Diceros bicornis minor: one gene and its partners. The protein of the gene in region 4 purifies or fractionates together with the protein of the main gene of each other region. This does not show direct contact. Links are inferred from orthologs where the notes say so. Each region holds a gene or a part of one and is shown on either strand. Other genes may lie near its edges. The genes, in order: DPF2, BCL7C, SMARCC2 and SS18.

Region 1 (7,014 bases), on a different chromosome or scaffold from region 4:
GTCTGGAACATCTTGACTTGGGAGTAAAGCGACCTGGCTTGGCTGCAAGTCACCACATAAACATGGACATTTAGTCAATCCATGTGGACCTCAGGTTCCTCTGCTACAGACTGGGGAGGTTAGACTAGATAAGCTCTGGCATATTCTATAAAAGGGAGGGTCCTAGCATGGGAAGCTGCACAGAGTAAGCCTCCATTGCTTACATCCATAACTCGAGCTACACCAACAAACCCTGCTCTGGAATCCGAGGGGGGGCTTTCACTGAGCAGCCACAAGAGACCACTTAGGCACAGCTTAGCATGTCCCAGCAACTGAAAAGGACACATACCACACACAAGGTGGTGACACCACAAGACATGCTGGCTGGAGTCAATGAGCTGTAATGACTGTAATCTGAGGTAGGCATGAATCTTGTGTTGCAGAGTGGAGAGAAGGGAACAGGCTCACAGTTGCTCGCCTTTAGGAGGCAGCCATGTCCTCAGCACACAGAGGAAAACTGGATAAACAAGGCTGAGTGCAGCAGCTCCTTTGTTTCTGCTGATGGGAATTGATACTGACACTGGAAATCAAATGGAAGGAAGGACCAGACGGCCTGAGAGCTGCAAAATCAGAGCAAGGAGGCTGGAAACAGTTTGTGGGGAATGGATGACAGATGTTCTATCCAAGTTCTTATGAGTTAAGTGGGATTTCAGAAGGTGGGGCAAACTGTCTTGTGAGTAAGAGAGCTGGGAATGAAACACTTAAGTTGGCGGAAGAGGATCTGATGAGGAGAGGGTAAGACAGTGTGAGAGAGCTCTTAAAAACTTAAGGCTCCTATCGTAAGAAATTTCAAGCTAACATTATCCTCTAGATCTTGCTACCTAACTCAGAAGGTTTCAAGACCAGTCAGCAGCCCCAGGTATTTTATACTATTATTTTACCCTAATAAGACCCTTTAAAGACTGCTTCAATTCTGACACCACATTTGAGAGGGACAGAGAATTTACAAATAGGAAAATTCTTCTCCCAGAATAAGATGCAAGTCAGAAAAGATGAGCTAGTAGTCCTGACCTCAACGTATAATCTCAGCTGTCAGAAAACAAAGCATACCATGATCAAGAGAAAGCCAGAAAAGCGTCTCTTTCCAAGGTGAGAATGGTACAGAAAGAATGGAAGCCACTTCTTAAAGGGAAAATTCTGTAGGAGAATGTATTTAATTGAGGTCCACAGCCCTCTGCAGCTAGGACTGAGGAGGAGAAAGTTGGTTTCTCATTACCGGTGCAGTACTCAGGAACCAGTGGCTAGTGACCCTCATAATCTCTACACCTCTTCAAAAAGAAATAAGAAGTCATGCTTTCTTTAAATGGGGAACCCCTCACTGCTAAAACTACAAGAAAGAGTTGGCAACTCTATTTCCCTGAAGAAAGTCTTCCAACAGAAAGAATCTCATTACATATAACTCTCAAAACCTAGGCAAGTCTGACGTTCCCCCAGTAAAGTAAGATTTCCAAGGTTAAAGCTTTGATTCTTTTTCGAGAAGCAAGAAACCCATGTAAAACCTCCCCTTATAACGGGATGGGGGGAGTCGACAAAAAGAAAGGCAGGGAAACAAAGAAAGAACATCTGAGTCAGGAAGGATAACTATATAAACGGTAGATCAACAGCGTCATTTCTAAATTGAGGGAAATGTCAGCCTGAAGAGAGAGCTGGGGAAACTAGAGTGGGCAGATCAGAGAGAAAGATAATAGTGTTGGGAGGAGGGGGATGAAAGAGGCAGCAGCATGGAGCTGAAAGCAGGAGGAAAAAAAACCACAAGAGGAGAAGGAGAAGGCACTTAGCTTAATGGAAGTGGGAAAGCATTCTCAAAGAAAAGGCTCCAGGCAGGAGGAGGGGAGGAGGCAATGTACTCTTAAAAAAGGCTCCTGGGAAGAGTGGGGCTCAGTCTAACACGAAGGCAGATGAAAAGCGGTGAGACCCTTAGAAGAATTCCCAAACCTTTACCTTGTCATCCGGTCAAAATCCAGAAGCCCCGACTGGACAACTAGCCACCTCTCAATTTTCCTACCCCAACACTAAGCCCAATTAACCCATGAAAAGGCGCTTGCTCTATTCGCCCATGGGGCATGAACCCATTTCAGAACTCATTCAGATTCTCCTTCGGGGAGGGGGCTGGGTGAAATCAGGTCCCAAAGCGTCTTTAACTCACAGCTCACAACCATTCTCCATTTTCCCAACCACCACCAACTTGGCTCGCGATCTGCCCAGCCCAAGGGGACTGCACAGCGCGAGGCCGGCCGACCCAGCTGCTCCCCCAGGCTGCAGGGGCGCCCTGGACGCTTCCGTCCCGGTCCCGTGTTTGGATGGCTGGGAGGGGAAGGCGCAAAGGTCCGCTCCCCTGAAGTTCTTTCCCTTCTGTCTCTGCTCCTCAATTCCTCCCAAGAATATTTTTGGTCCTGGGTACCAAGACCCCCGGCCCCCCCAACGTCACGGGGCTGTTTAAACAAAACACCCCGCAGGGCTTCACGGCGCCTGGGGCTCCAGGGCCGGCTGCGGGAGGCCGACGGGGAGGGGTCGGTCCCGGGCCGCCCTCGGCCCGGCTACTCGGACTTCGGCGTCTCGGGAGCGACATCGGGACCGCGCGTCTCCCATACGCAGCAAGGGTGCCATACTCCGGACACCGCGAGCCCGCCCCGCCCCGCACGGCGCAGGGGGCTGCCCGCCAGGGGCTCCCGTGTGCCCCCCTCAGGGCCTCCACAAGTTTCCAAAGAAGCGCAACGTCTTCTCCGGAGTCTCCTGTTGCCCTCCCCGCTAGGAGTCGCAACGCGGCCTTTCCGGTCACGTCCCTCTCTCCGCCTCGTCCTTTCCCGCACCGCCCCCTACTCCCAAGCCCCTCACCAGACCTCCCGGCCGAGAAGAGAAAAGAAACGACCACTCACAGCTTCACTACATTTTCCACCACAGCCGCCATCTTCCCTGCTCCTCTCCCTCAGGCCGGGAGGCCCGGAGCCCGCAGCGCGCAGGCGCCGGGACCCCTCCGGGGAACCAGTTTCCTTGTCTTTCTGCGCAGGCGCCGCCTGGGGGCGCGCGCGCGCCCCAGAACGAGCAACGGAGAACGAGCTTAGGGGCTGTTCGCGGGGGCCAGAGAGCCGAGGAGCCCGGTGCGCAGGCGCGGCGGACACGGGTGCGCGCCCCGAGGCTCCGGCTCGAGCCCCACCTCTTACATTTGGAGGAGCGGGAGGAGGGAGCAAGGCTGTGGCCTGGTCCAGAAATGAGAGGGCGAGAGGTTGGTGAAAACTGGCAGGCCGAGATGGGCTACGTGGAGCGCATGCGTGCGTCTTGGTACCTGGCCCACCCTTAACCTCCTGGTTAACCTTTTGCCCTTACTCACAGGCGGGAGTTGGCAGGTAGCGAAGGTCAGAGGGGTGCACAGTCCACTTGGGCCCCCAAACATATGTCCGTTTTAGGGAGAGGAAAATTAACCCCCAGAACTGGGCAGTTCTTTGCCCTAGATATTGGGGTCTGACAAAAGTTACCTCACCTTCCTACCACCAAACCCAGCCACCATCTTCTCTGGTACCTACCTCTTCTCCCTTGTTTCCTACTCCTCTCTAAGCTCCTTCCCTCCACTTATGTTCTGAAGACATTCCCTCCTTCAATTATCCCTCTCTCTCCTGTACCATTCATTTCTCCTTCACTATTGAATCATGCAAATTCATGTAGAAACATGGCTTAATATCCTCCTTAAAAAAAATCAGAGCCCTTCCTTTAGCCAATGTCTGCCTTCAATTATCACCCCATTTCTTTTCACTCTTTTAAAGCAAATATTCTGTTTATACTCCCTATCTCTGTTGACTTATTTCCAAGTCTCTTTCTGCCCAGGTTTAATGGGAATTTTGTTTCCACCAGTTCACTTGAAACAACTAACAAAGTCACCACCACCTCTGCTTCAAAAGATTTAGAGATTTCTTCTGTGTCCTCGTTGGCCTATCAAGCCCCGTGACACCATTCACCCTTCCCTCCTTTTCCAAACTCCACTCCAGGTCTGTGAGACACACACTATCCCAGCTGTCCTCCTGTCACGCTGGCAGTGCCTTCGGCTTCTTTTGCTGGCTCTCCATCCTCTGTTCCACCTATAACTTTCAGAGTCCCCAAGGCTTTGTCCTTTGTCCGTGTCATATACCTTATTTCATAAATTCCACAATGCACATATTCCTTCCTCTCCCCCCATTTTAATATTTCAGAATCAGGACACGTCTTACCATCACTGTGCCTTATAATCTTGTTTGGCAGATGGGAGTTGTGAGGTATTTGTCACTGCCTACCCTGCACCAAACTTGCAGAGTGGGTGTCGGTGGCTTGGAAGAAAAACCCAGAGACAACACTGGTACACTCTTCTACCCCTGGGAACCAAATGATTGTAGGGACAAAGGGTATCAGAGGTGACTCCCAAGCAGGAGTCAAAAGTCTGCGTTATAGCCTGAATGTTTGTGTAACCCCAAACTCATATGTTGAAGCCCTATCCCCCAATGTGATAGTATTTGGAGGTGGGGCCTTTGGGAAGTAATTCAGTTTAGATGAGGTTGTGAGGGTGGGACCCTCGCGATGGGATTAGTGCCCTAATAAGAAGAGGAAGACAGGTATCTCTCTCTCTCCACGAGGAAGGGCCATGTGGGGACACAGCAAGAAGGCAGATGTCTACAAGCCAGGAAGAGGACCCTTACTAGGAGCCCAATCTGCTGGCACCTTGATCTTGGACTTCCCAGCCTCCAGAACTGTGAGAAATAAATGTCTGTTGTTTAAGGCACCGAGTCTATGGTCTTTTGTGATAGCAGCCCAAGCCAACTAAGACAGTACGCTGGCACTAAAGCTGAAATACACCTATGCGGTGACCCAGCAATTCCCTTCGTGGATATATACACCAAAAAGCATGTACAAGAATGTTCACAACAGCATTAATTATAATAGCCCCAAACTGGGAACAACCCAAATGCCCACAACAGTAGAATGGATTAAACGACAATGAAAGGAACAAACTATTGCTACACAACAACATGAATGAATCTCAAAAACTTAATGTTGAATAAAAGAAGCCAGTTGTAAGAAGAGGACATATATTGTATGATTCCATTTCTATAAAGTTACATAAACACACACACTGGTCTATGGGGGTGGAAGTCAGGAGAGTGGTTACCTTTGGAGGATAGTGACAATGAAGGGGCATGAGGTGGCTACTGAGGTGCTGGTAATGTTCCTTTTCTTCATCTGGGTAGTGGTTCCACAGGTTTGTTCACTTTGTAAACGTTGAACTACACAAGATTTGTGTACTTCTCTGTATGTATATTTCAATAAAAATATGAGTAATAATAAGTAGGCTAGTTATATATAATTGGAAAGTCAGATTATGAGCCCAACCTCAGTGGCTTTCAGTTCTTTCAGGATTCTTTTAAGAAGTGCTACATCACTGAACAATAGATACTCCGCATGCTCTGAACCAGTGACCAGTATATATAGTGTTTCTCTTGCAGACGAGAACCAAGGAGTGGAAGTAGGGTCCAGCCTCTTGAAATCTCAACTAACGATTCTGCAAAATGTTTGTTTCCTGCTCCTGCAGCTCTGGGCTCTGGCTGATCTAGAGCCTTTAGGACCCAGGAGAGGAATGCTTCCACCAGGGGGCACAGTAATGATTCTTCTAAAACAGGAGCTGAGACTGCCAATGGGCCATTTTGCGTTCCACATGCCACAAGGCAAGAAAGTGAAAAGGGGATACCACTGTTGGTTGGGCTTATTCTAATCGTCAAGGGTAAATAGGATTGCTATTCCTCAGTGGGGGCAGGGGGAAATAGAAATGAAACCCGGGGAATCTTCTTAATGTTACGTTCAGGTAGTTAATGGGAGACAGGTTCCTGGTTAGGTATTTAATTCCAACCTTCCCACTAAAGACAAACTGAAAAACAGAAAGTGAAAAAAAATCTTAGGGGCCGGCCCGGTGGCATAGCGGTTAAGTGTGCGCATTCCGCTTTGGCAGCCCGGGGTTCACGGGTTCGGATCCCAGGCGCCCACCAACGCATCACTTATCAAGCCATGCTGTGGCAGCGTCCCATATAAAGTAGAGGAAGGTAGGCACAGATGTTAGCCCAGGGCCAATCTTCCTCAGCAAAAAGAGGAGGATTGGCATGTGATACTGGCTTAGGGCTAATCTTCCTCATACACACACACACACAAATCTTAAAAGTATTGAAAAGTTAATGATAAAGTGAAGAATTACTGGACCAACATTTAGAGGCTAAAACCCAGAAAGATAAGCCCAGAATTCAAAGCAAATTTTGTCCTGGGGGCATTTACTGATCTGGAAGATATAACTGTGAAATTGAGCTGTTATTTGGCAGTCTTTGGGGAGAGAGGGTAAAAAATTAAAACCTAGAGCCTGACCAGGGTAGGAAGTCAGATACCCCACCACAGACATATACACACTTTAAGAGGGACATGTAGCCCAGAATCATGTTATCTGGGTGGTCCAGGGAAGCTCGAGCCTTGAACTTGGATTAAAGTAGACCCATCTTTATAATGTCCCTAGTAAGCCGGCAGACGCAAGCATATTTGGTACCAAGCAACATCCTTTGTGAAGGAATGTACTGTCATCCTAGGCCTCAAATTATTTCTAACAATATTTTTTCAGATACACTATCCAGCCCATAATCAAAGATAATTAGGCACACAAAGAAACGAGAAACTTTGTGTAAGAATGGATACAAACAATAGAAAACCAAATTGACCCACAAAGATTTAAGATATTGGAATTATCTGATACCGACTATATAATAACACCGCTTACTATGTTTAAAGAAGTAAAAGATGAGCATAAAAATATCTGCAGGGAACAAATACCTAGTAAGAAGTGCCACAACAGAATTTTTAAAGAACCGCATAGAACTTCTGGAACTGAAAAATACAATAACCAAAATTAAGAACACAATGAATTGGTTAAAAAGTAGATGAGTCATGGCTGAAGAGAGAACAAGTGAACTACAAGGCAGA
Region 2 (7,769 bases), on a different chromosome or scaffold from region 4:
ACGTCAAGTTAACAGACATTCCCTGAGCAGCCGCTCTGTGCCATAGCGCAAACCAGGGGGAAACAAACACCAATCACATAAGCCCACAGGCTGTGGGAGCACTGAGGAGGGAGCCAGGAACCTGGCTGCAACCCAGGAGGAAGACACAGGAATAACATTTAGGTGGGATCTTGACAGGTGAGTAGAATTTGATCTGGCAGACAGATGGGGAGGTAGAGCACATTTTAGGCAGAGGGAACATTTGCTTAGCCAGCACAGATTGTGGGGCTGGACTGCCCAGCTTCAAATCCTGACCTGACTTAATTTCTCTGGGCCTCAGTTTTCCCATCTGTAAAATGGAGATAATGATAGTAATTACCATGTGAGGATTAAATGAGAGAATACAGGTAAAGCCCTTAGCACAGTGTCTGGCACGCAGTTAGTGCTCAGTAAATGCCAGTTACTGGTTTTATGTTAGCAAAGGTATACACGTGCCGGGCACAGTCTAGATACAGTCTGTAGGCCCAAGGCATGGTGTTCCTGGAAGGGAACAATGAGGTCAGCAGGGGACAGTTCAGGAAGGGCCCAGAGTGCCAAGCTGCAGAGTCAAAGGCCATAGGGAGCCACTGAAGGCTCTGAGCAGGAAAATGACCCAGTCGAACTTGTGCTTTAGTTGCTCTGGCAGCTGTGCTGGGGCGACTGGAGGAGAGGAGACCCATGAGGAGGCTGGAGCCAGGAACAGGTGAGAGAGATGACAGCCCGGGGAGGGAGAGGAAGGCAGACATATTTGGGAGGTGGCACTGACCAGACGGGTGATTGACTATATGGAAGAAAGAGCAGTGAGGACGACTCATGCCCAAGATGCTGGCTCATTGGCTGTGAGCTTAGGCAACTCACTTAACTTCTCTGGGTTTTGGTTTCTCGTCTACAAATGGGGATCATAACAGGATTATAACCCTCAGAGGGTTGTAGTGAGGATTAAATGAAATAAAACACGTAAAGTGCTTAGAAGGGTGCCTGGCACACAGCAAGAGCTCAATAAGTAGTAAATGTTATTAGCACTTATTTATCACTCTTAGGATTATCACTATTATTTATTCCTCAACAAATATTTATTGAGCACCTACTATGTGTCCCAAGTTGTTCTGAGGAGACAATAGTGAACAAGATCAACATGGGCCCAACATTCAGGAAGCTGACATGAGGTGGGAATCAGAGAGAAAGACATTTAAGTAGTAAAAAGTTAAATTTACATGAAAATCTCGAATAGTGATAAATATCTACAGACCCTAAGAAGCCAGAGGAAGGAGACAGACAGTTGTCAGAGGTAGGGCAGTGACTTCCCTCGGGAGTCAGGGAAGGCCTCCCTAAGGAGGCAACACAGGATAGGGAGCAGCTGTAGGAGTAAGCTGGTGGCTTCAACTTTGGAGAGGACAAGACTCAGAAGAGAGGGCTCCTGGGAGGCAGCTGGTCCTACCTCTCTCCTGGCCCAGCCGCGGGGGCTGAGCGTCCTCCAGGACCCCTTCCGGTGGTCCGGCAGGTGACACAGGGCGGCTGGGCTGGGGGGTGCCCCCAGGGCTGGGCTCAGTGCCCTTTTGCAGGGAGCCTTCCGAATGGAAACTCTGGTTACTGTTCTCATCTGTGGGAGCAAAAGCCAAGAGGGTTGGGCCTGAGGCCCTCAGTCCCCTCACTCAATCCCCACAGCCCCCCAAATTCCAGGATCCCTACATACCATTGAGATCAAGCAGGATGAGAGGGCCACCCCCTCGGGGACTGGCACCCCTGCCCCGACGCTCCCGGCCTCGAGATCTCTCTGCCCCACCTCCTGCCCTCCGTCGCTCCTGGGGGTTAGAGGGTAAGGGTCAGAGCCAGCTTTCTAGTCAGTACTTGCAAAGCCCCCACTGTACAAATAAGCAAACTGAGGCACAGAGAAGCAAAAGGCCCTGCATGAGGTCACAGAGGTTGTGCACACGAGGTTAGGTCTTGAACTCAGGGATCTGGAGTAGGAAGAAGGGAGAAGGGGTGGAGTTGCTAATAATTGTTAACATCTGTTTGGGCTGCTGCATTTGAGGTCTGAGTGGGGACTGGAGATGGAGGCCAGGGTGGGGAGGGGCTTGCCTGCTGTTGCACAGATGCAGGGCCTGGTGTGGGGGAGCTTGCTCACCTCCTCCTGGGGGTCCACCACTGGCACCCACTTGAAGATACGAAGGGAAGTGTCGCCCACAGTCACCCAGCGCTTCTCCCTGTGGGAGGGTGAGGGAATTGGGTCAGAGAGGCCTGAAAAGAGATCCCCCCCAGGAACTGGACACATCTGGGGATACCAGCAGACGTGTGGGTGGTGCACGAGGGAAGGGGCAGTTTTGCTAATAGGGCATAGTTAGAGGAAGAAAGAGAGCTCTGCAGACCCCAGGACATACATGGGCCCAATGGGCCATGGCTCTGCAGACCCCTGGGGTATACATAGGGAGCGCGGCCACGGGCCGGCTGGAGAGGGTAGCAATGAAGATCCCGGGGCATACTTGCGGGAGGAGTGTCAAAGCTTTAGGGGGCGGGGCATATATGGGGGCTCTTGCTCTGGGAGGGCATGGCTGGGGAACACGCTTTGTACACCCCAGGGTGTAGCCAGGAGAAAGGGGACACAGCCCTGTAGATCCAGGACGCGGCTAGGGGGCACACCTAACAACTGGGGGCCACAGCTGGCGAAAGGAGGGTAGACGCATTTGGGGAAGGAGTGGCCCCGCCATGCCCCGTCCCCGGCCCCGGGGCAGCGCTCACCATCTCCGGACCTTCTCGATGGTCGCCATCACCTTCTTGATGTCATCCTTGGCCCGGCTCCGGGTCTCGGCCCGCACGGTCCGGCCGGCCATGCTGGCGGGGCTGGGGCCGAGGCCGAGCCCGCGGCTGGGCCGCCTCCCGTCCGGCGGGCTCAGGCTCGGCGCCAGGCCGGGACGCCGCTCTCTCGGCCTGCCGTCCCTCCGGGAGTTGGCCGCGCCCTCCCTCGCTCCCCAAAGCCTGCACGAGTCCCCGCCCCGCTTCCTGCCGCCGCGCCCCGCCCCGGCCCGTCCCCAGAGCGGCCCGGCGGCGCGGGCGGCCAGAGCCCAGGCCTGGAAGCCGGCCGGCCCCGCCCCGACCGGGCCCGCCCCCTCGGGGCGCCCCGACGCGCAGCGCCCCCTGCCCGCCGCCGAGAGGGAGGTTGGGGGCAGCTCGAGGAGTGGACGAGAGCGGCAGGGCTGAGGCGGTGCGTTCAGACCACGTGGACGCCGGGGGTGGGGGTGGGGGGTGCGAGACGGTCTGGGTACCGGAGCGCGTCCGCTGCGCGTGAGTGTCCTTGAAAGGCTGTGTGTGTGTGTGTGTGTCCACCCCCGCCTGCCCGACTATTCCTTCATCCATTCTTGCAACTATCTATTAACTGAGTGACGATTGCGTACCAGACACTGCAAATATGAGTGGGTCTCCACCCACCAGAATGACTAAAATGAGAATGACGGACCATATCAAGTGCAGGCCAAGAAGTAGAGCAACTGGACCTCTCCTATTTCTGGGGGAGTGTAAATTGGTAGTTTTCTAGTGGAGACGAACATACACCGACCCTATGATCTAGCAATTCCACTCCCAGGTCGTCAACAGAAATGCGTAGGTATGAGCACCAAGAGAGTGTACTGGAATGTTCATAGCAGTATTCATATTAGCCTCAAACTGGAAACAACCCATCAACAGGAGAGTGGAAAATGAACTATAGCTTGTTCACACCATGGACACAGCAAGAGAATGATGTCCTGCTACACCCAACCACAGGGACAAATCTCATGAAAGAAGTCAGATTCAACAGTAAACATTGTATGATTCCATTCATATGAAGTTCAAAAAAAAGGCAAAACTAATTTATGGTGTGAGAAGTCAGGATAGTGGTCATCCTTGGGACTGGGAGGGGCTGAGAGGGGGCTCGGGGAACTGGTCCTATTCTGTTTCTTAACCTGGTGCTGATTCCCTGGGGATGTTTACTCTGAAAATACATTGAGCTGTACACTTACAATGTGTGCGCTTTTCCCTATGTATATTATACTTCAATTAAAAGTTTACTTAAAATGTATCTTGGTTGATTTTGAGGCTGTTTGCCAGCAGATATGACATGTCTAAGTTTGTGTTGCTGTGTGTGCATGTGTTTAGCTATTACGTAGCTATGGTGTCTGTGTGTTTTGGTGTGACTATGTCCAGAGGGGTTAAGGTATAGGAAGGTGGTTATGACAGCATTTCTGGAGCCAAACTGCCGAAGTATAATCCCAGCTCTGCTTGTCCAGTGACCTTGGACGAGTCACTTATCTCTATTTCCTCAACTATAACATGGGACTGAATTAATATGTATATAGCTCTTAGAACAGTGCCTTGCATATTGTAAATACCCAAGAAATAGTCACTGTTAATAAGTGTGTGATTGTGGCCCCTACCATCAGTTGCACCTGCTGTGCCCTCTGCCAGTTAATCTCTTTCTTACTTTATTCTGGCAGTTGTCTGCTCATGGCAATATCCTCACAGACACACAGGCCTCCTTCCTAGTCCCTTCACTCACAAACCTCATTACCTGCTGTTGCCTATGGTCTCCCCCAACATTCTGTGAGCTCCTCAGGGGGCCAGAGACCAAGTATGGATCATCTCTGGGTCCCAGAGCCCAGGACAGAGTGGGTGCTTGGGAACCATCTGTGGGGATAAGTGTGTTTGCACCAGGTTAGTGGGGTTGACATACAGGTATGACCCCCTGTACCTGTCTCTTAAGCTTGTTCCTGTGTGAGAATGAAGGTCTGTATGCATTAATGCTTCAGTAGGTGTGGGTGTGTCAGACGGGTTCTCTTACTGGGCCTGGTAAGGTGAGGTGAGGTGAGATGGTATCTGTCTCCCTCCTAGTAGATGTGACAACGAGAAGGAGGGCAGAAGGTATCTAAGACACGCCAGGAGGTGTATGCCGGGGCAGGTGTGGCCCAAGCCTGAGGGCCCCCATCGCGGCCTCTCTCACACCCCGTTCCTCCCTCCCCCCCAGCCAAGAGGAAGGGCCAGCACATTCCTGTCCTGCCAGCCCCGCCCTCTCCTATCCCCTCAGCTTTTTCCCATAAGCAGCCCGGGGGCCAACCTTTGCCCCAGGTCGGAGCCTGAGCCTCCTCCTCCCGACGTGACGCAGGTCTGCCTCCCAGGTCCCGGCACCCCCAGCCTCGAGGTCCCGAGTCAACCATGCGGACAACCTGCCGCCCTTCTCAGGCCCCTTTCCCAACTAGGCCGCGCAGGCAAGGAGCTGAGCTCAGGGCCAAGGAATCCTGTCTAAGGCTTTGGCGGGGGAGGGGGATTGTTTGGGGTCTGAGCCCTGATTGGCTGCGTCCGGGCCACGCCCCTACCCCTTTTCCCCTTCTCCCCCCTCGGACCGGGGGCGTGGAGGCAACCGGGATCAGCCAGGGGCCAGCATGAGCCGGAGGGAGGGAAGTCTGGGTAAGGGGCTGAAGGGCCAGGTGCCAAGTTCCCGAGGGGAACAAAGGTCAGAAGGGCCGGAAGCTGGGGTCTGGGTCCCCGCCACCCCCGGGTCCGGGAAGGGAGCAGCCTGAGCGGGGGAGAGCAAGGCCCCGGTGTCAGGGTAACGAGCAGATGAGCTGTGGGTGAGCTGTGGGAAACAGCAAGCGCCAGAGTTTAGAGGTAGAGGAGGCCTGGGGCTGTGCCTTCAGGGAGTTGGGCTCAGGAGTTAGATCACCGGTTCGAGTACACCCTGGGGGAGGACTGGGGTCGTGGCTGGGGCAGGACGCCTGGATCTTCTCCGAGTATTGGGAAAGAATCGGAGCTGGGGGCCAGAGGGAGGGGTAGGGTTAGGGGAGGAAGTCTTTGGGCCCCAGGAGCTAGTGAATAACAACAGGAGACGAAAGTCGAGGCTGTTAAGGATAGGGACTGGCGGTGGGAAACTCAGGTGGGGGCGGGGGGCGGGGCGGGAGTTGCCAGACCAGGACTACATTCCCCAGCATGCCCTGGGCTCGCGCGCTGGGCTTCTCGGGAAATGTAGTCCTCCCCGCCAACACGTAGCTTGTGCTAGGGAAGGCCAGTTGTTGATTCATTGACGCTGCCCGGTGCCCAGCCCAGCGCCTTGCACAGAAGAGCCATCAGGGAGGGAATGGGACTTCAGTCTCCCAATCTGTAAAATGGCCTTGAAGGCGCATTCTGACTTGAATTCCACCAACAATCACTGAGCTACAGAGCTACCCTTAAAGGGCTGCCAGGCTGAGGCAGATTCACACAGATAAAAGAGCCATTAAAAGAACAACTTGGGAAGTGTGAACAAATGGCCTTAAGTAGAAGGAAGAAGTTAATTTAAGGGTGGGTTGAATCTGGAGTCTGTGCTGAGGAGGCAGTATTTGGATTTGGCTTTAATAGGATTTCAACAGTGATTTGGGGACAGGGAATACATTTCAGGTAGAACAACTGTTTGGCAAATATCTAGTACCTTATTTTCCCTCAGTTGGAATGGGCCAGAGCCTGCCTGGCTTAAAAGTTGGAATATTCAGAGCAGAGCTTCTGGGTTTGGGAAGGGAGAGCCAGCCTGGAAGAGGTGGTCAAGGAGCAGGGATTTGGACTGCCCTCATTCTTCCCCCTTTTCCCACCAGAAGACCCCCAGACTGACTCCTCAGTCTCATCCCTTCCTCACTTGGAGGCCAAGATCCGTCAGACACACAGCCTTGCCGGCCTCCTCACCAAATATGCTGAGCAGCTGCTCCAGGAATATGTGAGTGGGGATGGGGGTGGGAGTGCCAGGGGCCTGGAGAATAGGGAAGTACAGATCACAGGGATCCTTGACCACCCATTTTCTCAACCTCATTTCCCAGCTGCTGACATTGGGGCTCTGGAGAGGGATCAGTAACTTGTCCCTGGCCACACAGCAAATTGGAGGAGGACCCTCTCTGTGCCCCAAATGTCCCTCCATTCGCCTCAGCTTGGAGGCTCCCTCCTTGGTACTTTAAGACAGAGGGAACCTGAGAGAGTGAAGACAATTCTGCACTGGGAGGCAGGAAACCTAGGTTCTATGCTCTGTGTGATCTTGTCACCTCGCCTCCATGGGCCTTGGTCTCCCAATCTGTAAAAGGAGGCGGTTGAACAAGATGACCTGTGAACTCTTCTACCTGTGATATGCAGAGAGGCCATGAAATGGTTTCAATCTAGGGTAAAAATTCCATCCTAAGAGGGGACTTGTACAGAAGAGGGGGATCTGCTAAGATCTTTAGTTGGGCAGAGGGCTTTGACCAAGGAAAGAAGGTATTTCCCCAAATTGCTCTGGTGTGGTGGAGGGAGGGTATAGTTTTAAATGAGACAGACTATAGGCCTGCCAACTTGCTGTGGCCTTGGGCAGCAATGATAACATTAAAAATAATAATGTAACAATTATGATGCAGATAGGGTGATAATAGAATTAGCTTTGTAGTCCTACCAATTTTGGTTAGAATTCCAGCTCTGCCCCTTCCTAGATGGACGACCTGAGGCAAGTCACTCTACCTCTTCAGCCCCAATATCCTCATTTGCAAAATCATCATCATCATTACATCCATTATTGGGAAGATTAGGAATACCATAGTCCACCCTTATCTGTAGTTTCACTTTCCATGGTTTTGGTTAACCTCAGTCCAAAAATATTAAATGGAAAACTCCAGAAATAAACAATTCATAAATTTTAAATCCCATGCCATTCTGAGTAATGTGGTGAAATCTTGCACCCTCCCGCTTTGTCCAGTCCAGGACATGAATCATCCCTTTGTCTATCCATCTTTGTGGAT
Region 3 (7,742 bases), on a different chromosome or scaffold from region 4:
TGGGACCTTGGGGGAATTCCAGAAGTAATCTGGGACAAAAATCTGGAAAATAGATGCATGATAAAGTTGGTTAATGCTTCAGCTTTTTTTAAAAAAGTAATTTTGAAGAAATGAATCATTTAAATATGGCTCATAATCTGTGAAGGACTCCCAGAAATGTTTTGTGCAGTGACAGCATTCCTGAAACAAGTGCAGGTTGAGATCATTTCAGCTCAAGTCCTCTAATAATTTGCTTTACTGGATGAACTGCAGAGACACTTGGAACCCGTCAACAACTTGGAAGGGGATAATAAATTCTTGTCTGTTAGATTTCCCCCCCGTTAGCTTTTCAGTCACATAAAAGCAATTTTGATTAAGATCTAAGGATTTGTAGCTGAAAAGATCAGTATAAGGTGGCATTAGCTAGTCACTGGTTATAAGGTCAAGAAACAGAAGGAACTTCATGAAAGAAGGAAGGAATTAGGCTGACACATGGAGACACCCAGCCTAATTAGATTGGGGGTATCTTACTGGGAAGAATTAGGGATTTTAAAAAAGAGGTGATTTAGGCAGGGTGTGTTGATAACAGGAACATGTGTTTGATCAGATGGGGCGGTGAAGTTCCTAGACGGGAATAATAGGAAAGCAGTGTTTAGAGATTTAAGTGTGAAACTGGCGCACCTGGAAGGCCATTGTAACAAAAGCATGCATTAGATGATGTGATGGAGGAAGCAATGATTGATGAATGATGGGCATGGGAGGAAAAATGTCAGATAATTCTTAAGGTTGGAAACTACATGGAATTGAGAAAATAGTATTAACAGAAATGGAAAAAGTTGAGCATGTGATTCTGGGAAAGGAAGAGAAGTTTTGTTTGCATTTTAGGTGACCTTAAGTCAGCTGTGGAGACATATACATAGGCAGCTGGAGATAGAGGACCACAGTTTGGCTGAGAGGCCATGCCTGGAACAGTGGCTTAGGATTTTTGTCTTGGGAGGAGGGAGAAGAATGAAGCTTTGGTAGAATTCCACAGAAGGAGAGAGAAAACAAATGAGATGGAGAAATAGTATTCTAAGAGAAAAACAAGAGTACAGTGTCTCTACAGCCCAATAAGAAATCAATGGTTTCAAACATAGCAAAGGTTTCTACAAGAGAGATTAAGATAGTATGGAGCTGGAGGCAGAGGTAGACATTTTACTCAAAAAATAAAAGGAAGTAGAAAATAACGTGGTGATTTGGAAGTGTCAAATGCAGGTGTAATTTTGTTTGTTCTGAATTAATGAAGGATTGATCCAGTGGAGTAGGGGAATCTGAATGTGTTATGGAAGGATATTTATGGAAGGTTCTCTGGGAGGTTGAAATGAGTGGGATTGCAAGCCCAGGTGGAGAAGGTAACTTCAGGTCAGATGAACAAGGCCAAATACTGAACCAGTAAGTAAAGAATGTCAGTGGATGGAATGTAGTAAACATGTAAGAATGAGGAGAGAGAGAAGGGTGCTCATGCAACGCAAAGAACGATATAAGGATAGATAGGATTTGTTGGAATGGAAAGGGAAAGGGTGAAGGAATTGGGGAGTTGGGGTGGGCTGTAGGGATGGTAAAAATTTGAAATTATCTATTGTACATGAAGGTTCGAGGCCTTGGCCTCTCATCCCCGAAAGTTACAAGGGAAGCATTTGAGAGCGAAAGGTAGGATCTCCAGGTACCAGGCAACCTCCATCAGCTTCTTTTCCGTCCAGGTCCTCCATTTTATACACCTTGGAGCCGGCTTCCTATCACTACGTAATTGTCGGTTGCCCTCTGCTGGTCGATTTTAGTCTTGGCTCTCCAGAGAGTTAAATCTGAGAGCATGCGCAAAAAGGAGTACCGAGCCTATTAGGTTCTATTCGTTCATTCGGTACATATTTGATTACATCCATGTGTAAGGCCTAGTAGGGGAGATACGAACAAATAAAATACACAATCCTAACTCTCAAGAAGCTTAGAGTCCAGTCCGCGTGAAGATTAAAACACGTACACAGAACTACTGTAGAAAACATCCATTTATTCAGCAAAGATTCTTTTTCAATTGAGTGGCTTATATATGCCAAGAGTTTATATTCTACAGGGGAAGAAAGACTTCACATAATAAGATTAGGACGTAGGATGTGGCGGGCGACAGGTGGTTGGAGAAGACTTCCTAAGAGAACTGATATTTAAGTGGAGACTGAGTAGAAGGTGAGGATGAGAAAGATGATTTCAGGCCGAGAACGGCATGAAGACGGACAAATACTACACCGGGAACTAAAAGAATGCCAGTGGACGGGATGTAGTGAATACAGAAGAGCAGTGAGAGACAGGGACCAGGTCACGAACCACAAAACGCAGCCATGGAGGGGCTGATGGTCTCTGGCTACAGTGCGGATGCTTTCGTGCACTTTACATCTGTTGATTCATGTAGTCCTCACAACTACCCCTACTTTCCAAATGAAAGCTCCAGCAACTGGTAGGTCCAGCCTGCACTCACCCCTGAGAAAAGTGGACAGATTTGAGACATATTTAGGAGGTAGAGTAAATATAACTCGTTTTCATTTTGTTAATTTTTGCAGAGGTGTGTCAAAGGAAATGACTTGCAATGCAACCGAGTGGATGGTGGTGGTAGACGGATAGGTTCCAGCTGGAGTAATTCAGAGCCTCAAAGAGGAGGGGTCCGGGGCCAGCCTGGTGGCCCAAGCGGTTAGGTGTGCTCCACTGCGGCGCCCCGGGGTTTGCCGGCCTGGATCCCGGGCGCACACCCATGCACCGCTTGTTAAGCCATGCTGTGGTGGCATCCCATATAAAGTGGAGGAAGATGGGCATGGATGTTAGCCCAGGGCCAGTCTTCCTCAGCAAAAAAGAGGAGGATTGGCATTGGATGTTAGCTCAGGGCTGGTCCTCCTCACAGAAAAAAAAAAAAAAAAAAAGGAGGGGTCCAAGGATGTGCCAGATGGAAAGTGATCACAGTAGGGGGGTGGGGGTGATTTGGAAAGAACAGCAGGAACAATGGTGTAAAGCATAGAAAGTTCTATGAATTACCCTTGAACTCCCTGCCTTTTAGGGATCTTTCCTGGAGAAGACGCTGCCGTGCAAGAAATGAAATACAAAAAGAACATCCTACATATTCCCCACAATCAGAAACTGGGGGATAGGAAGAATGGGGTGAGGTTGGAGGATTAGAGGTTGGTGGAGAGATTTATTCCCCAGCTTGGTTAATACACAATTTAGAACAGTACCTGGCACACAATGAGTACTCAATAAAAAGTGACAGTGATCTTCCCACACTAGAGCTCCAGCTAGACCTGCAGTGTTTATGTTTCAACAGGCTACTCCCCCCAGCCCTGCAGTACCTGAGGCGCACCTCCTCAAGGAAATCCAAATGAGAGAATGCCCTGTTTCCTGGGTCTTCACTGTAATCAGACCTACAAGATGTGACTGCTGGTCATGAAATCCAGAGGTGTCCTCTTCTCCTGGAAACTCCAGTTTTGATTATTATAGCACAACAGGCAGTCACATTCCCAAATAAAACTTAACCCCTCTTCAACCAAATCCTTTCCTATTCCCTCCCAAAAGAATGAAACAACGGATGCCAAAGCTCTGCTCGCAAACCTGAAGTTACAGAATTCTGCAAGTGCCTTGTATCCTAGCAGCCAATACAGTTGTGCATAATTAAGCTTCCCGTGATCACTCCCATCCCCCCAAATCCGAGAGTGAGACCTTTCGGCTTCTATTTCCGAGACAGAAAGGGAACTGCACGAAAGACACACGCGAAGACAAGGAGTTCCCTTTACACGTCCTCAAAGGGAAAAAAAAACCGGCCGTCACGAACAGGATTCGAACCTGTGCGGGGAAACCCCATTGGATTTCGAGTCCAACGCCTTAACCACTCGGCCACCGTGACTTCCAAAACCTCCTTCAGCCGCGCGCTTACAGAGGGGTCCGCACTGCGACCGGGGGAGGACTCTGGCCCAAGTCCTGCACACACCCCATGACCTCCTCCCGCCCGCTCCTTACCTCTCCTCCACGCCACTCGGGGAAAGTCCGGTGGACGGGTGACCCAGGGAGGGAGGGTCTCCCGCCCCTCGAAGACTCAGGGTCTCAAGGAGGGCAAAGCTCTTTAGGAGGCGATGGCGAGGCCTGCAGAGGAAGCAGTCGGAGGGAAGGGGCTGGGCCTCCAGGGTGGCGCCCGGGGGACTCCTCGGGTTAAGGGCTGAGAGGGGGTGCGGGGTTAGGGGCGAGGGAGACTCGGGAAGAGTTTACACGGCGAGCTCCTGGGGATGGATGGAAGGCAGGAACTTCTTGGGGAAAGGGTCTGGGGGTCCCTGGGATTAGGGGCTCCGCGGGCTCAGGAATGTGCAAGGTGAGGACCACTCGGAGCCATGGGCTGGGGGCTCCTCAGGCGACGGGCGTCCCCCTGGGGTAGGATAGAGAGGTACCCTACTCCCCGGGCTGAGAGGCGAAAAGAGCCAAAAGGCTTCGCGTCAGGTCAAGAGCGACCTCAGAGAGTGTGCGCCCCCTCCAGGAAGCCGCCAGCTCCCCAAGGCTCCTGCCGCCGCCGCCGCCACCGGGGAGGCCGCCAGGGTCGGTCCCGCGCCCGGCGCTTCGCCGCCGCCACGCCCGGCCGGCCGGCAGGGGGCGCTGCGAGGGCCGGGGCCGGCCCAGGCAGCGGGAGGCGGCGGCCGCGGCGGCGGGAGGCGGCGGGAGGCGGGCGGAGGAGGAGGCGGAGGAGGCGGGAGCTGAGCTGAGCGGGGCGGGCGGCGGCGGCGGGCCCGAGCCCGAGAAGATGGCGGTGCGGAAGAAGGACGGCGGCCCCAACGTGAAGTACTACGAGGCCGCGGACACCGTGACCCAGTTCGACAACGTGCGGCTCTGGCTCGGCAAGAACTACAAGAAGGTACGCGGGCAGGGCCGCGCGGGCCCGGGGGCGGGACAAAGGACCGGCCCCCGCAGCCCCCGGCTCCTGCCCACCCGCGGCGGCCCGCGGCCCCTCCCCCGCGGCCTGCGGAGCGGCCCCCGCGCCCCTCCCCCGCTCCCGCCGCCGCCCGCCGGCTGGGATCGCAGCCCCCGCCCGCGCCGCTGCGCCCTCTGCCCCTCGTTTTTCTCCCCTGCCCCCGCGGGTCCCGTGCCAGCAGCCCACCCTCCCTTGAGCCATCGCCTTCCGGGCTTTTCCGGGAGAGAGGCCGCGGGTGGACGGGGTGCAGAATGGGCGTCCCCCTCCCCCTCCGAGCGTGCCCGCCGCCGTGCCCGCCGGAGCTCCCCGCGGAGCCAGGTACCAGCAGAGCTGAGGCCTCCCTGGTGCTTTGTGTATGTTCGGAGAGAGATGATGGGAGCCGGAGGGTAGACAGCCACGGAGCAGGCCCTTGGCTGCTCATCAGCCTGAAAAAGGCCCCCACGCTGGGATCACCTGTCTCTGCCTCCGGTCCCCCACGTCCATCCAAGGAGTAACAAAACCTCTTCGGGAGCCAGGCTATAGGAGTTGCTGGGCAGCGACTCCTTCTTAAACCCTTCTTCAGCTTCACAATGAAGTCACCCCACCACCTGGCCTTGCATTGCTTTGGGTTTGGGGTTCAGAGGCTAGGACACGCTGTATATCTCTAGCCCCCCACCCGATAACTGGAGATAACCAGGTAGTGAACAGAGCGTTGGAAACACCTTACCTGTCTTTTCCACCAGAGCTCTTGCTAGTGCTGTCTTTGTCTTTCCGCCTGGTTGAAAGGAACATCTACACATAAGATTTTTCTCTGGAGAGAGTCTGCCTCTCTCGCTTCTACCACCCCCCGTTAGGGGCTCTCTTTCTGGCTTCCCTTCAGCTCCCCAGTTCTTGCTACTGAGCTTTGCAGCCTGTCAGAAGTGTGATGGGTGGTTGAGGAGAACACCCCTCTGATCCTGGTTCTGAGCCTTGCCTTGTTCACGGAGGTCTCTCTGGGTGTCAGCATCCTGACAAACAGCTGCTGGGTCTGTGGCTTGTCTGTATCCCAGCGTGAGGCTCTGGTTGCCAGGCTTCTCCCTTTGACATTTTGGAAAGGAGATCAGTCTAGGGGCTTAGTCTCTGGCCCTGGGGGGATTGACAGCCTGTGACCTGGTTCAGCTTTCAAGCTCTTAGCTCTTTGTCTTGTACCTTTTCCTTCAAGGATCTGTTTCCACCTCCCGCTGAGAGGAGCACTCCTCTCTGTGATGTGATTAGGGTTGAGGAAACAGGGGTCAAAAGGCAAAGAGAAAGTTAGCCTCCTGGCTCAGTTTTAAATTGGAACAGAAGGCTAGGATGCTAGGTAGCATAATACAGAAATGTTTAAGAAGCCCAGGGTTGCTTGTCTCGGATATAGTTTCCTCCGACAGGACAGATGTTGTCTTGCTCTCTTCCCACTAGGCTGGATAGTAGCTAGTCCTTCCCATCTTTGGGGGGCGGGGGCTACAAAGAAGCTTGTGCTGGGTCCTAGCAGAAGCAGAATGCACAAGCTCACTCTCTCAGTCTGTTTGCCCTACTCGCTTCCTTGTACCTTTCTTATTAGGCTACATTATAGGGGAAATCTTGACCTTCCACAGAGTTACCCCGAGAAATACACCATTGCCTCGAAAGTGTGGCTTCCATGGCCTGAACTCCACGAACCTTCAGAATTTCATAACCCTCAGTGCTGTTGGCTAGAGATCAGGGTCATGCAACTCCAATTTCAGGAAGCAACCCTTACCCCCAGCACCCAACGCTGGCCCCCTAGGCTGGGGGCAGCAGAATTTCAACTTCCTGGTGAGGGGCATCTAGGGCCTCCCTTCTCCTATTTTCCTTTGGACACTAGACATGTGGGAGAAGACAACACTATTTTCTCTGCCCCAGATGCTTCCAGAGTTCCTGAGGAAGGAATAAGGGAGATGGTGGACAATTTATCTGGGGTCTGTGTTTCTCTCTTTCCTCTGTCTCCCAGTATATACAAGCTGAACCACCCACCAACAAGTCCTTGTCTAGCCTGGTTGTACAGTTGCTACAGTTTCAGGAGGAAGTTTTTGGCAAACATGTCAGCAATGCACCACTCACTAAACTGCCGGTGAGTACAAAAGCAAGGAGGCGAATCCTCCCAACAGGAGAGGGAGTTTTGGTTTTTTTTGGAAATTTTATGATTTTTGAGATTTGGGTCATTTCCTACCATCCCTGTATCTGGTAGGGCATTGTTGGCTTGGCTTACTCCCCAGTTTACCATTCCCATTTTCTTAGTAATACTTTGTGCAGTAATACTTTGTACAGGTTATCTCAGAGAGTCTGAGCTCCATACATGAACTCCCGTGGCATGGTTAAAAGGGGATGAGATTTGGATTTTCACGGGCCTGTGTTCAAATCCTGGCTCTGCCACTTGATGTCTCTGTGATCTTGAGCAAGCCATTTAAACCTTTTGAGTCATGGTTCCCTCATCTCTCGATGAGATTAATGTTTCTGTAATGGTTAATGAGGTAACCCAGCAGAGTACTTGGCACAAAGGTGGGGCTTTGTGAATATTGGTTTCTGTCTCTCCCCTCTTCCAGGCCACATGGTACAGTGGCCCAGGAGTTAAAGCATTCCAGCTTTGAGAGGGAGACCAGTTCAGCATGGGATTTTGTGAAAGGATTGTTAAGTAATAAGAGAATTTAGGGTGTAACTCTCACATCCTTCTTTCCTGTCTCAATTTTGTAGATCAAATGTTTCCTAGATTTCAAAGCGGGAGGCTCCCTGTGCCACATACTTGCAGCTGCCTACAAATTCAAGAGTGACCAGGGATGGTGAG
Region 4 (7,623 bases):
TAGAAATGGGGAGTGACTGCTAACGGGTACAGGATTTTCTTTTTGGAGTGATGGGTGGAATGGTTGAATTGTATGGTATGTGGATTATATCTCAATAAAGCTGTTATTAAAAAGAAAGGTAAAAAATTAACCAACAGAAAAATGAATACAAAAAAAATTTTCACGTCAATCTTACTGAGAACACTCTGAGGTCTTTCCTTTATTCTGATAGTCCATTATACACTGAATAAGATGGTTATTTTCGTCCAACATCTGAAATAAAATTAGAAAAAGTTTATTGTAAATCTAATGCATCAAGTAACATTTTAAAAAATTATTCAGATTTCTAGAAATGTTTACCTACACAGGAACTGAATCCACTGAGGTCTTTAAATCTTACTTTAAACTTCTGGAATGATATCATGTTTAATCAACATTTTTTTTATTAACTCTATTCCAATTATTCTCCCTCTGAATTATTACCTGAAGCCCAGAAGGGAAAATTTGGAGTCTCTTTTGTATTCAAACATTTAATTACCTCTGCTACCTGTAACAAAAGCTTTAGCCTGTTAAGACTAGAGTTAAGAGCCAAATTATTAGAGTCCAAGTTGGCTTTGCATCATTCTAATGCTTTGTAGTAGTAAAGAAAAATTCTGTCCTTATCCAGAATGAAGTAAATACATGAAAACTTCAGCCCAGGAGGCTTGAGGTGATAGCTGCCTGGTTTCCAAGTTTTATACAGTACCGTTTTGTGATCCTCCAAATACAGAATAATCAAATACAATAATTTCTATGTATGTATAATATTTACTGCAGACTTTATGAGCTTACCTTGTAATTACGTTGTCCCAAAAGTTTAAAAACAAAGCCTATCAATTTACCATTCTTCATCTTATAACCATTCAAAGCAATACTGGCTTTGAGAGTTAAATAATTCATCTAAGCAAAGTGGCAATTAAGGAAAGAACACTGATGTAGCAATTAAAAGGCCGGTTGGTTTTAGTGCCAGCTTTGCTATCATGTGCCACCCACTTAAGATTTCAGGGGCTCAGATTTATCTGTAAGATCAAGGGACAGGAGTAGATGTTCCTCCTGAACCTGCTTCTCCCTTCCAGGATTCAATGAAAGCATAAAGTACAATACCATAATCACTCTATCTCAATAATTCAGTTAATGTAACTCTTTTAATTAAAAAGAAGATCCATTTAACATTAACTTTGTGCCTTTTTTTCTGCATATGAATCATAATCTTCACTTGCTGGAAAAAAAATATTAACGTGCCCTTCCAAAAAGTGCAGTTATTTCTTAAATAGAATCATTGGATGCCAAAAAATTTGTCCTTAAAATGCTTTAGTCCAATCTGACATTCTCACAACATATCTTCTAGTAGATTCCTCAACCTAACAAAGTTCACCGTTAGAATGTCTCATATCGAACATCAATCCCTTACACTGTTAGAATGAGGCACTTAGTTAGGAATCCATTTTCTCTTCTCATCTGAGGATGAAAATTGATCAGCATCTTCTGAATTAATCACCCAAGATAAATATCTTAAGACGTACGAAAGAAAAACTCGTAGAAAAAAATAACTCCTGACTTTTCTACACTTCAAAAATAAAAATAAAAAGCGAATCCCTCCGGAAACATGTTTTGCGTGTGTGTACTTGGAGCTGTCTGCCAAGCTGCAGACTTAGCCCCATGCATTGTATGAAAGCACTGTATCTCCAAGCACTGCCAAGCGGGTTTGTTCATAAAACAACCCAACAGTTGGGCAAATGTCAAATGCCACACGACAAAGAAGCTGACAGTAAACAGAAGCCGATTAACATAATCTACTGGACATACGATGGTGTCCTGAGTGGTACTAAAAGCTGACTTTTCTTCAATTTTCATCCTTGCTCCAGTGCATAAAACAAAATCGAAATATTTAAGGTAAACTGCTAAATTTAGCAAGTAACTTTTCAAAGTCCGGCTGACTACAATTCAGAATGCTGTCTTGCTCACAGGCCACAAGAGGTGGAGGACAATCAAGAACCTTTGTAGCTCTAACTGGCAGTAACACAGCAGCGACAGAGGCAGCACTACCCTCTAAGAAGGACTCAGTTCCCTGTGTGTGTACCACGACTTCTGTAATTGGCCACGACTATCAGACTGTCCCCACCACTAGACTGTAGGCTCCATGAAGACAGGGACCACGGCTCATCACTGTAGCCTCGGCGCCCAGACTAGGCGCTCAATAAATATCAGCTGCAGATGTAAACGGATAAGGGGTGCAACCAGAAGGGAGAAGTGGACTCCGAAGGTAACCCCGAAGTCCACAGAGCTCTCCCTCCACCGCCCCTGAGACCCTACTACCGTTCCCAGCAGCGTCCCCCAAGCTCTCCTGGGAGCTCCCCAACTCCGCCTGAGTTTGCAGCGCCGCGGAGGGAGGGAGCGAGCAGCGCTCCAACTTCCCTCGGCCTCGCGCGCCCGGAGGTCGGGTCTGCACCGAGCGGCCGCGCCGCGCGGGGCGGGGCGACGCCAAAGTAACTCCGGAGCGACGCGCGGGGCCGCGGGGGGCGCCGCTCCCACAAACAGCCCTGCCCCGCGCGGCCGCCGCCGGGCGCACGCGCCCCGCCGCCCGAACGCCGCCCCATCCCTAGAGAAATCGGGCGGCGGTTCCTTGGGCTTTTGTCCCTGAGAAAAGATCCTGGACGCGCGAAGGACTCGGTGAGAGAACCAGTTCGCCCCCTCCCGCCCACCACTCCGGCACAGCCCGCGGCTCGGGTTCCCACACACCGCCGCCTCCCAGCAGGCCCGCCTCCGCCCCCGGCCCGGCCGACTCCCCCCCGTGTCTCTCCCAAGCGGTCCTGGCATCCCCGACCCCGCAAGCGTTCACCTTCTGAATCGCGGCGGGAGTGATCTCCCCCTTGCCTCGCTGCCTCGGGGCTGCGAACGCCACAGACATGCTGCCGCCGTCACCACTATCGGCAAGTCCCGAGCGCTCCGGGAGAACGGCAAACTGGGGGAAAAGACGCCGGCCTCTCGGGCTGAACCACCTGGGGAATGCGGGGAGGGGGGATGCTGCAGTGCCGAACGCACAGTCGGCCGGTCTGCCCTAAAGGAGGCACTCCGGCCCACACACGTCCTGTTTTCGGTGCGTTAGTTGGCAACCACGGCCCCGGTAGAACTTTCCTGTTCTTGACTGACCTCTCGTCCCTCAACCTTTCCTTACCCGCCCCCCCCGTCCCTTTGCGCTAATGGTAGGGCCGCGCCCCAGTCCTCCCTCCGCTTCAGCGATTCAGGAAATGGTCCCGCCGCTGCGGGAGAGGGAGAGGCTGGGGCAGCCCCTGTCACAGGAAATGCGAGCGGCCCGAGCCGGCCCGCCCCTTGCGCGCGGGTGCAACTTGCCTCCCTCTCCGGCGCGCTGGAGCGTCCCTCCGACTGCTCTTCGGCGCTCTGCCCCGGACCTAGTTCAGTTTTTCCAACTTCGGCTTCACCCCTCCCGGGAAGAAGTGGCCGCCCTGAGTTGTCCGGGCACCCCGGAGAGTGAAGGAGGCAGGTCAGGACCCGGGAGTTCGTGCAAACCCGTGAAGCATCAGCTGAGATGAGGCAGAGGTGGAAGGACTAGGTGAACGCGGATTCGCTGGTTTAAATGGCTCGGCTACGCCCCAAACGCGCACCTCCGAGTCCACAGTCTCGCACGCACACACAGTCGTGCCTAAGAGTTGCAAAGTAAGCCTGACCCCAAATCGGGAAACGAAGGCTGTGTGCAGGACTCAGGGGCAGTCGGCCAAATGGGCTAGAGCGGCCACAGGAGAAGAGTGCGCCTCTTAGGACAAACCCTTAGTCGAACTGTGGGTCGATTTCGTGTGACTTGGATCTTTGGAAATAAGTTTTGAAATAGGGCATCCTCATTCTTCTTTTCCAATTATATACTTAGAGTGCCTTGTAAATTAGGCCCAATTTAGTCTTCAGATCAGCGTGAGGGAAAAAAAAAAAGCTTTCAAATTATGGAAGGAACATGGGCAAATATGGGTAACGTGTTGGTGTGGGGTTTTATTATTCGGTCAATTTAGACTTCCATAGGACACAAAGGAAAAGTTTATATTAAACGTGACCCAACAATGAGGTTCAAAAATCATTCTCTCAGTTTATATATAAATGAACTGGAAAAATTTAAAAAAAAAGCATATTTTTAAATTTATGTTTCAAGTAAATGCTCTTCACAAAAGGATCATGAGTTTCGTTCGTTCAGCAAATTTGGATGCACTCTGTGTTCTAGGCTTTATGCTAAGCACCTAGGATACAGCTGTGAACAAGCTGGACATGGGACCTGCTCTCAAGCAGCTTATATTCTAATTGGGCTCACAGACCAGAAACTAGTAAACAAACAGGTATATATGTAAAGTTCTAAGAAAGACTAGCAAACAAGGGACTGAGAGAGAATGACAGGGGCACTCACATGAGTTAGGGTGGGAGTCCTGTGTCTTTTATTTAAACTGAGACCTACAGGATGAAAAGACTCAAGCCATCCTAAGAATTAAGGGAAGAGAATTTATACTCCTACGAATAGTAGTTATTCTTATGAATTTAATTGTCTTTTGCTACCTTAAGCCTTGAAAAAAAACCACTCTGGTACATTTGAACTCAATGTAATTACATCAAATTAGAAAAACTATTGAATTCAGAACAGAAACTAAGTCTTATCCACCACTAAACACTGTATATCCAACACCTGGCTTTCATCATCATGTCTCGCTGTTTACACAAAAATGCCTTAGTAGTTAAGAACAGTATTTCCGTAGGAAAAAATTAAAAATAATTTTACCTACCACTCCAATTCTATCTGTTTGGAAGATAGCACCCCAATCTTAAAGAACCAGTAGGAACAGTTGTCTGAATTTCTATATATCAACAAAAAAATATTCCAAGCAGGTACCCAGAGATAGATACCTTTTTGTTTAAATTACAGCTTCCCAACAGCAAGAAAAAAAATCAATTCAAAATAGGTAACAGATCTGTTTGAGGTGTTTATTCCTTCCAAGTAGCAGGGTAGGGCTTAGGGCACCCACAACCCCTAGGCATGGATAACCATACCCTTTTCTGTGATAACATGTGCTATAAAAATACCATCACATGGGAAGCATTGGCATAAAGGTCCAGCCAGAAATACAAATGATCTCCCTCACAGAAGATACTTTAAAAGGACCCTACCTTACTCTCAAGCTTCCTTGATAAACCCAATCAGTCAGCTTGACCTGGACAAGTCGAAAATTCAGAGAGGGAGAGGGAAGGTTGCAGCCTGGAGGAACTTTCTTAGAATTTTGGAGGCTTTGTAACTGTAAGAGCCCCAAGTTAGGGGAAAGATAGTTAGGGGCACCTAGTAGATATTGTCTCACTTCACCATTATTTCGGGAGAGAGGAGTTCCAAAGTACAAATTAAGTTAAGTGGTAGCAGAGTTGAGAGGAAAAGGAGAATAAAGAGGCCCCAGGATTTAGGTAAGGAGAAAACGGAGAATGCATATGGGAACTTAGCCCAAATTGGAGAAATGACTCTGGGAACTTAAAAATGAGCTACCCAGGTAAGCATCTCCCCAATCAGAAAAATCAGTCCTGTTATTTAGACTGCTCTTGGATTGAGACATCTGAAGAAGGAATTGAAGTCACATAACGAAGAGGTAAAAGGGTTTTTAGAATTATCCTAATAAAAGAAGATATACAATGGCTCAGAATAAGTAAAATAATCTGCATGAACAATTAAGTCTTGATTTATTCACACTAATGAATGTAGATACACTTAACAAAAAAAAGGTAATAAGAAAATTGGCTGTATTTGATTTTCAAATGTTTCAATTTTTTGTTTTACATGAATTTTTATTCCTCAAATGTATTTCACTGAACTGATAAAGTGAAGTGCTCCAGGAATATGCTCAACATTTAGTGAAACAATATAGTCATGACATTAAAAATTATCTTAATGCACAAAAAAAATAGGATGCATTTCAGATAATTGAGATTACTTTCATACAAGCATTTCTTTAATACTTATTGTTTTATAATTAATAGACTAACTCTACTGTCAAATTTGCTGATACTTTCAGCCCCTGTGCTGCCATTTATTTTTAGAATACATTGGGAAGGCATAGACCAAGCCTGTCTGCTCGTAATTGGGCTCAGAGCAAAACCCCTCAGGTCATATCTTTCAAAATATTTCCACTCACTGTCTCCATGGCATATGATGAGTCATTTTGAGTTGTAGCTTCCACAGATTTCAAGACTATAAGGAGAAGAGCATACATCTCTCTATATAATCATTATTTCAGGCAAGAACAAATCACCTTTCCCAATTATCCATAAAAGACTTTATTTTCAATACTCCAGAAGATTTCATTCAAAGTAGACAATAATAGCCTATCTGGCACATTTCCATCTCTTCTTACAGTATCAAACATAGAATGAATTAAGGAGGAGCTAAATCAATTATATTTGGGAGTTTAATGTTATAGGGAAGTATTGCTTTTAAAAAAAAATTAGTCTCTATGTGAAATTCTCTGCTATCTTAACTCCCTGTGAAAAATGCACAGGTTTGGAGTTCCCAGTTCTTCCACCTACAGCATGATACTGGACAGGTCACTTCTGTATTTCATTTGCCTTCCTGAAAAACAGCTGGCCTATCTAAAAGGCTATTAGAAATAATAAGATGTTTAATTATTTATTTAGCATTTATCATCCACAGCCACTGTGCTAAGTGATTATTTTATATTACATTCTTTATGATTGTCCCAATTTTAACAGGTAAAATGTGTCAAACACATGGGATATTATAAATTGCTAAACGAGGATAAGATTTGTACCTAATAATCTAATAAGGAGAAAAATATATACTTTAAGACTAGAAATGGTCCAAAGTACTGGAGAGTGCAGTCTACCCTTGGTAAATTTTCTGGCCATAATTTAGAGATCAAATGATTTTTTTCCCATTTAGCATGTTCTCTGACCTTGTGCATGATGTGCAGTTACTCTGCCTTTAGTAAAAGAATATAACAACTGTTCTTTAACTACTTCACAATGTATAGAGGATGATAATATACCAATTTCTCTATAAATTGTTCCCTAATTTCTCTATGAATGGGCGTGGTAGGCAGAATAATTTCACCCTCACAAAGATGACCACCTCCCAATCCTCAGAACCTGTGAATATGATAGGTTACATGGCAAAGTGGAATTAAGGTTCCAGATGGAATTAAGGTGGTTAACCAGGTGACCTTAAAATACAGATATTAACCTGGACTATCTGAATGAGCCCAGTATAATCACAAATATCCTTAAATGGGGAAGAGTGAGCCTGAAGAGTCATAATCAGAGAGATAGCATCTTGAGAAAGACTCAACCAGCCATTGCTGGCTTTGAAGATGGAGCAGGTCATGAGCCAAGGAGTGTGGGTGGCCTCTAGAATACGGAAAAGACAAGGAAGCAGATTCTCCCCTAGAGCCTCCAGAATGAACACAGCCCTACGAACACCTTAACTGTAGCCAAGGGAGGCTCATTTGGGACATCTGACATCCAAAACTGTAAGATAGTAAATTTGTGTTGTTTTAAGCCATTAAGTTTGTAATAATTTGTTAAAACAGCAATAGGAAACTAATACGATGTTTTTCTTCC

What was found.
Region 1: the proteins of SS18 (region 4) and DPF2 purify together in Homo sapiens (affinity purification with mass spectrometry; 4 studies listed by BioGRID and IntAct, counting the BioPlex papers as one, with this or other methods). This does not show direct contact. The link is inferred for Diceros bicornis minor from reciprocal best matches to the Homo sapiens genes SS18 and DPF2.
Region 2: the proteins of SS18 (region 4) and BCL7C purify together in Homo sapiens (affinity purification with mass spectrometry; 3 studies listed by BioGRID and IntAct, counting the BioPlex papers as one, with this or other methods). This does not show direct contact. The link is inferred for Diceros bicornis minor from reciprocal best matches to the Homo sapiens genes SS18 and BCL7C.
Region 3: the proteins of SS18 (region 4) and SMARCC2 purify together in Homo sapiens (affinity purification with mass spectrometry; 3 studies listed by BioGRID and IntAct, counting the BioPlex papers as one, with this or other methods). This does not show direct contact. The link is inferred for Diceros bicornis minor from reciprocal best matches to the Homo sapiens genes SS18 and SMARCC2.

The regions. Positions count from the first base shown.
Region 1 is NC_080770.1:7,847,541-7,854,554, forward strand, and holds the start of DPF2 (zinc finger protein ubi-d4), read right to left. Parts: upstream 3,008-7,014; 5' UTR 2,948-3,007; coding exon 2,916-2,947; intron 1-2,915. UniProt on the Homo sapiens protein: Plays an active role in transcriptional regulation by binding modified histones H3 and H4. Is a negative regulator of myeloid differentiation of hematopoietic progenitor cells. Might also have a role in the development and maturation of lymphoid cells.
Region 2 is NC_080765.1:21,104,633-21,112,401, reverse strand, and holds the start of BCL7C (B-cell CLL/lymphoma 7 protein family member C), read right to left. Parts: upstream 3,002-7,769; 5' UTR 2,847-3,001; coding exon 2,755-2,846; intron 2,223-2,754; coding exon 2,144-2,222; intron 1,821-2,143; coding exon 1,712-1,820; intron 1,619-1,711; coding exon 1,457-1,618; intron 1-1,456. Other genes in the region: CTF1 (cardiotrophin-1), read left to right, coding at 5,427-5,451, 6,609-6,727. UniProt on the Homo sapiens protein: May play an anti-apoptotic role.
Region 3 is NC_080756.1:12,582,694-12,590,435, forward strand, and holds the start of SMARCC2 (SWI/SNF complex subunit SMARCC2), read left to right. Parts: upstream 1-4,724; 5' UTR 4,725-4,777; coding exon 4,778-4,888; intron 4,889-6,911; coding exon 6,912-7,031; intron 7,032-7,651; coding exon 7,652-7,737; intron 7,738-7,742. UniProt on the Homo sapiens protein: Involved in transcriptional activation and repression of select genes by chromatin remodeling (alteration of DNA-nucleosome topology).
Region 4 is NC_080755.1:21,352,165-21,359,787, forward strand, and holds the start of SS18 (protein SSXT), read right to left. Parts: upstream 3,019-7,623; 5' UTR 2,927-3,018; coding exon 2,858-2,926; intron 253-2,857; coding exon 176-252; intron 1-175. UniProt on the Homo sapiens protein: Appears to function synergistically with RBM14 as a transcriptional coactivator. Isoform 1 and isoform 2 function in nuclear receptor coactivation. Isoform 1 and isoform 2 function in general transcriptional coactivation.